Saccharomyces cerevisiae S288C: one gene and its partner. Changing the gene in region 1 together with any one later gene gives a genetic interaction. Each region holds a gene or a part of one and is shown on either strand. Other genes may lie near its edges.

Evidence for each region.
Region 2: mutations in YJL213W (region 1) and UFD1 together harm fitness more than expected from each alone (negative genetic interaction), as found in Saccharomyces cerevisiae (2 studies listed by BioGRID).

The regions. Positions count from the first base shown.
Region 1 is NC_001142.9:29,897-33,721, reverse strand, and holds YJL213W (uncharacterized protein), read right to left. Parts: upstream 1,560-3,825; coding exon 564-1,559; downstream 1-563.
Region 2 is NC_001139.9:588,070-591,740, forward strand, and holds UFD1 (polyubiquitin-binding protein UFD1), read left to right. Parts: upstream 1-1,756; coding exon 1,757-2,842; downstream 2,843-3,671. Other genes in the region: transcription factor TFIIIC subunit TFC4, read right to left, coding at 1-1,400; SCM4 (Scm4p), read left to right, coding at 3,245-3,671. UniProt on the Saccharomyces cerevisiae protein: Functions at a post-ubiquitation step in the ubiquitin fusion degradation (UFD) pathway. Has a role in the endoplasmic reticulum-associated degradation (ERAD) pathway.

The DNA of each region.
Region 1 (3,825 bases):
TTCATATTGCTTAACTTGAAATACTTTATCTCAACGTTTAATTATACTGTTAATAATGATATTTCTATATTTTAGAGCACATTTTGGTCGAAACATTCAAAGCGACCCCTGCAATATTTAGCGGAGGCATCTCATCCGCCTTATTTTTGTAAATTAACGATCTTTAGCGCATGCCAAGTGTTCGATAACAAATTCCGACTTTAAGAAAAAACGGGCACGAGCATACAATAAAAAAACTTTTAAAATTTATACCTCCTTGAGGTGTTCTATTTTATGATAGATCCGTATTTCAGATACCAAATGTTATATACACTTTTTTAAGCTTGGATTTTTTTCTGAATACACGGACCTTACAAATGCTATAAAAAAAAAAAAGATTCTGTAACTTGTAAAATTAAGGGCCCTAAAGGGCCATATCCACCTCACATTTCACTGTGATATAAGTAGGATATTTTGACTTCAATACTTAAATTTACAAGCCAAATATTTTATTATGACTTCAAAAAAAAAAAGGCTTCTAGCATTCAGAAATAATGCTGACTGTGAAAACAACTATAACTACATCAATATATCCTTCCCTCTTTCATGACAAATAGTATGTTGCTCTCGGGTTCATCCAAAATCGTTATATCGTCCAACGGATTTGATTTCATCATCAGTAGGTCAGCAATGAACCCTGGCTTAATCTGTCCCAATTTATCGCCTAATCCGTTCATTTCGGCAGGAGTAACAGTTGCTGAGAGCAAAATCTCTTGTGTCGTTTGAACTTTCCCTCTAATACGAAACTCTTGCGTTTGATAACCATATAGAGGACCCAATAAATCTGAACCAAAACAAATTTTAACTTTTTTTTTCTGGGCAATTTTCATTGCATCAATTCCTTTGTAAAGCACCTCTGTATTTTTTCTACTATTTTCAGGTCCCAAGAATGCACTAAATTGATCAGAACCCATCACTTTGTAGGTAACTAGTGTTGGAGTCAAGTAGCAACCCAATTCTGCCATAAGCTCTGCGGTACGTTCATCTAATAAGTTTCCGTGTTCGATACCCTTAACACCTAACTTGATACAATTTTGTATCGCTTCCGCAGTGTAGGCGTGTGCTGTTACGTATGTGTGGTAACTATTTGCGACATCTACAAGTGCTTTTATTTCGTCGTCGCAAAATTGTTTGTTTGATATTTTGTCAGTTGGAGAGGCCACACCTCCACCACCCATAATCTTAATAAAGTCTGCACCTCTTCTAAACTCTTCTCTGGCCGCTTTGTAGCATTCGGGAACACCATCTGCTACAACACCAACTTGACCAAAGTGGCATGAACAGCTGTCAAAGGCACTAGCAGGTAGGGCACCAGATCTCAGATCGCCATGACCACCAGTTTGGGAAATGGCATGTCCACACGTAATTAATCTGGGACCATTCAAGGATCCCTGACGAATCTCTGCTTTCAGAAAGCCTTCTGCACCCCCACAGTCTCTCACTGTTGTGAAACCTCTTGCCAGAGCGGCTTCCAAAGTGTATCTTATTCTGAGTAATGCAACTGACTTTGGCATCAGCATTAACTTGGTCAGATCAGCCTCTCCTGCAACCGACGCAATGTGGACATGACTGTCGATCAGACCTGGAGTGACATACTTACCGGTGCCGTCAATAATTTCAAAGGCAACTTCATCAACGGTTACCGGCTTTTCAGAACCAAATTCGACCTTGGAAATGACACCCTGTTCTATGAAGATGTAAGCTCCGAGGAGACTGACACCGCTTACCACATCTATCAAATTAGTGTTACTTATACAGTAATTTTTGAGTGGCTCTGGGCGCTATGGTGCCACCAAGTCGGCCAGGGACTTGTTCATTCCTTCATTGACATCGATTTGATAAGTCGTCATTTTTATCTCGGTTAATATACTGTTTCGATGTCCCGTCAATTGGAAAGAAAAGCTACGCTACATACCAGCAAATATGTTGCTTTTATATTCGCTCATATCGGAGATCAATTACCGACATACTCTTCTCTATTCAACAAGTTCTCCGTTCTCCGTCAAGTTACGTCGTTTACGAACGATAAGAGGCTGATCAAATAGGAAGGAGATATTGTCGGATCATTTTTTAGTATGGAGATAATGCGTCATGCCGACATGAAGGCACCATCATCTGTGAAGTGTGTCAAGAAAAAACTGGCGAAGTTAAAGCTAGATAATCCGAATAAGAGGGATAGTAGAAAGGAGGTGAAGTAAAAAAATTATCACCATTTTTTCTCTATTAGTAATGAATTCTTCAAGGACTTTCAAAAGTAAACGTCACAAAAATTTTTATTTCTCAAGAATCTTGTTTATCGAAGGGTCTTTATTGAGAAATGTTAGAAAATTGGTAACTTTTTAAGATCAGAGTTAACAGGCAGAAAAAAAACAGGGTCTTTTTGTTCAGGAACCCTTTTTGGCTGAAAAAAAGAGCGCACAGAACAACGCGAAAAAGAAAAGGAGGAAATCGCGTATCCTTATGGCGTCGCAAAATTGCAATTAGTTAGCTATGTAATCTGTTTGGAAAGCTTCCTCAAAATTAATAATGGCGAAAGCAATATAACATCACTATTACATCAGGAATAGCTGTTGCCATACGATAAGGGGGTAATGAACAGATTGCTCATTAATGTCTATATTATGCATAATACGATTTTAATGTTCGGAATCTGTAGATGGTGCTAACATTTTACATGAACCAGCGAATAACCAGACTGGACTCGTTTGACCAAAAAAATTTCTGTTGGTAGTCTGTGTAGGTTTTCACAAAGAATAGTATAAATTGATACGCAACGAAATTAGTGGTAAAAATTTTTGTTTACTTTACGGCTTACACGGGGCCGTGGCTGATACTGGGAATACCATATCGTTTCGTTCCAGTGCCGATAAAGTGGCTGAAAAAAATTTACATATTTTTCTTGAGAGAGGTCTTTAACTGGTCTCACAGAGACGGTTAATCAAATGCTCGGAAACAGGATAAATGAGGACATCTGCACAATCGGGTGTTACCGCCTTATCTTGTTAGCAGTGGCTATAATCACTCCAGAATATGCCGTCGTGTTGGTGGCATAAAAAATTCTTTTTTTGCCATATAAGAATATCCAAGTTTAGGAATGACGCAAATTCGACACCAGGAATAATTAACGAGTTAATTCTCCCGACCCTCAAAATTTGAATAACAGTGCCCTCTTCTATCTGTTCACCACGGCACACAAACGGTTTGGAAAGATGTTGCTTTGGGTGTGAAAACTTTATTTATCACTGCTTTGCCATCACAATGTCTGTGATTTGAAGACCAGCTACTTCTCATTTAAAATAATATCTTATACGTACCATTGCTTCCTTTTCTGTAAGATGATCAACTACACGTCATCCTGAAAAGCAACATCACTAACAACTTGAGGCTTTAAGTCCAAACTCAATGTTGCAACAAGATGGTTTAAAGCAGCTCTTAATCAGTAGAAGCGAATATCAGCAGTAGACTTTTTGGCACTAGAAAATAAACTTCTTGAGTAAATTCTAGAGATACCTGCCTAGAAAACCCCCCTGAAGAGCCAATTTAGGTAGGAATTGTAATAAAGGTCTCAAGCTTGTAGGAGAATTATTTTTTTAACCCGCAGCAACAGTATTGTCACTTTCTTCTTTTACGACGTCATATTTTATAAAACGAATCTTCTCAACCTTTTTTAAAATTCCCAGTTGTCTACTTACAAATAATGACGTTCGTGTAAGTTTAGAGACTATCGGCACGCTCTAAAATGTGACTATATCGATATCGATTTGGCGGTTTTCACCAATAACAAAA
Region 2 (3,671 bases), on another chromosome or scaffold:
GCAACGTCACTGAAAGTCTCATCATACAGGCATTGAAAATGATTCAGAGCTTCAACAAGGTTATCTGTGTTCAATCTTAACAATCCCAATCTAACTCTAATATCGATTGGAATGTTATACGATTTTTCCTTTTCTGCGGCAAGTAGTGAATCAAAGGTACTGTTTTTAAACCTTCTATTGTCAAATTCTGAATCATCTGGAACATGATCCCAAAATGTCTGGCTTTCGCGGCGTTGAATCCACCGTGCACATTTTTTAATTGTCTTTATACCATCGACCTCACTAACTGCGAGTTTTAAGAAAAGTTCCGCGAGAATGTTCAAAGAAGACCAGTCAAATGGTATGCATTTATATTTTGCATCAATTTTTTTCCAGTTGATGTCAGGAAACATCTGCCTATCTTCATCTTGTTCAAGGGGTTCCTTTTCGTCTGCATCCTCCCCTTCTGCGGCGCTTTCTTCGTCTGAAGAATCTAAGGCATTTTCTAAAGCAGCTAATATCGCTTCCCTTCTCTCAACATTAGCATTAAACACTTTCATATAGAGCTCAATTGAATCTTCAATCCGATCATAATCAACATAAAGAATGGCCAACTCCCTCAATATGTTTGCATCATAAGGATTGTACATGTAAAGCCTTTGAAATCCATCTAAAGCTCTTGCTAACTGTCCTGTCTTCTTGTACAACATAGACCGGCGATAAATTGATTCCCATTCCATAGGATTCAAACTTATTACCCTGGAAAAGCAGTAGATGGCCTGCCTAACATGATCTAAATCGGCGGACAGTATAGCGACTATCTTCCAGAATTCCCAATCGGAAGCATTTAGGTGAGCTGCCAGGAACCAAGAGTTACAACAATCATTAAGCCTTCCTTGCAATTGATATATATCTCCTAGGGTCTCGTAAGCAGCAAAATTACGTGCATCTTTTTTAATTACCTCATTAAATAATCTTTCGGCCACTTGTAAATCATTCCTGACAAAAGCTTCATTGGCTTGAGAAAGTAATTGCGCTACCTCTGGATCAAGCACTCTTTCTTTTCTTTGGCGGCCGTAAGATTTACCTTTGTCATTTTTCTTCTTCTTTTTTACCTTAAAGTTACTTGCTTCCCTAATCGCGTTCATGAAATCTTCCTCATCGTCTTCAGATATTTCACCGTAGTCCGAGAATTCTGCCAACAAAGAACTGTCTCGTTCGGAATTATATTCATCTTCGCTTAATTGTAGATCATGAGGTACATCCTCGTCATCATATTCCTCATCTTGAATCAAATGCTTATAGTCATCAATATTTCCGTATAGATGCTCTTCATCCTCATCGTTAACTTTACCCGTATCAGCGCTTTCTCGTTCAGCTGATTGATTTTGCTGTTCCTTTTTCAATTTTCCTGCTGCCATCACAGATACACTTGAGGGTTTCTTTCTCTAGCTTCAGATTCATTGTTGACTGGTGTTATTATACACAGTGCGCTGCCATTATTATCGTTCTTCTATTTCTAGCCGAAGCGCCTTAAAAAAAAAAAGTGTCCACTTTGGGAAACTCGCCTTTACGACGAAAAAGTCAAACTTGCGTTCTACGAAAGAGAAGAATTCCTTTTTTGGGTTAGGTGGCGAAAAATAAAGGTAGTTAAAAGTAATCCTGGCTGGTCTATGTGAATAGGGAAGAGATAATGATGTAGTTTTCAATAGATAGTAACACATACCATAGCAAGGGAGGAAAAAATATCAAAGTGATACTGTAAAATATAATAAAAATGTTTTCTGGCTTTAGTTCTTTTGGCGGCGGAAATGGTTTTGTAAATATGCCTCAAACGTTTGAGGAGTTCTTTAGATGCTACCCTATAGCTATGATGAATGATAGAATACGGAAGGATGACGCAAACTTCGGCGGGAAAATATTCCTGCCACCAAGTGCTCTAAGCAAACTATCCATGTTGAACATAAGATACCCCATGCTTTTTAAACTAACTGCCAATGAAACTGGACGTGTGACACATGGAGGTGTTTTAGAATTTATTGCTGAAGAGGGCAGAGTTTACTTACCACAATGGATGATGGAAACTTTGGGTATACAGCCAGGATCTCTACTGCAAATTTCATCTACTGATGTACCTCTGGGCCAGTTTGTGAAGTTAGAACCTCAGTCTGTAGATTTCTTGGATATTTCCGACCCCAAAGCAGTTTTGGAAAACGTACTGAGGAATTTCTCGACTTTGACCGTGGACGATGTTATTGAGATTAGTTACAATGGTAAAACTTTCAAAATTAAGATCTTAGAAGTCAAACCAGAATCATCATCGAAGAGTATATGTGTCATTGAAACAGATTTAGTAACAGATTTTGCTCCACCTGTAGGATATGTGGAACCGGATTACAAAGCGCTGAAAGCTCAGCAAGATAAAGAAAAAAAGAATTCTTTTGGTAAGGGCCAAGTTTTGGATCCCTCGGTGCTTGGCCAGGGATCGATGTCCACAAGAATCGACTATGCGGGTATCGCTAACAGTAGCAGAAACAAACTATCTAAATTTGTAGGTCAGGGACAAAACATATCTGGTAAAGCTCCGAAAGCGGAGCCCAAGCAAGATATAAAAGATATGAAGATAACGTTTGATGGCGAGCCCGCCAAGCTAGATCTGCCTGAAGGCCAATTATTCTTTGGTTTCCCAATGGTCCTACCGAAAGAAGACGAAGAAAGTGCCGCTGGTAGCAAATCCAGTGAACAAAATTTCCAAGGCCAAGGGATCTCACTAAGGAAGAGCAATAAGAGAAAAACGAAAAGTGACCATGATTCGTCCAAGTCCAAGGCTCCCAAAAGCCCGGAAGTAATCGAAATTGACTAAAAGATATATACTAGTATACAACAATATAGTGTCTTTGACAGATATATAGAGCATTTTCAAGTTAACAGATCTTAGAATCCAAGTATCTTATGCATCGCATTAGCTCTGCTGCATTTGCTGTTCGTTTAGTAAAAATAATTACGTGCGCGGTTGCGCGATATTTCCCTTGCTTAATGCCGAAGTAATTCTCTTCGTTTACCCATACTCGAATCTATTGTGTTGTTGAAAAATAAAAAAAAAAAGAACCAGGTTATATAATTGTGAGTTGATCAGTATATAAATGAGAGAAAAGAAGTTTCTATTGTTCCAAATTATATCCAAGCTGATTTTTTAACCCTTACCTCACGAAAAGCAAGTTTAAGACAAACACTCATAAGAATCCTTACATATACTAAAAAACAAATGCAAGTCTCCCCAGCTATTGTAAAAGGTATCGCAGTCTCATCATTAGGTTTATACGCCGGTATTTTAACTTCATCTACCGTGATTTCTATTACCACCCCAATAAATGTTCTAACTCAACATTTGAAGAATGTTTTGTGCACATTAGGATGCTGGAGCACCGTTTTAGGTGGTTTAGCTACTGGTGCCTTTGGACTCAGCTACTATCTAGCTGCACCAGGAGAAAGACCAAACTACCTTTTGTGCGGACTTGGTGTCGCCCCATTATCTGCAGCCTACCTATACTTAGTATCACTGTTCAATCACAAGCTAGCCCCAAAATGCACACGTGACCAAAATGATTTAGAAAAGCAAAAGGATGAAAAATTACCCCAACATCACCCGGAAGTCAAAGATGGGGAAGCTGCATGCCCATTCTCAAAGATGA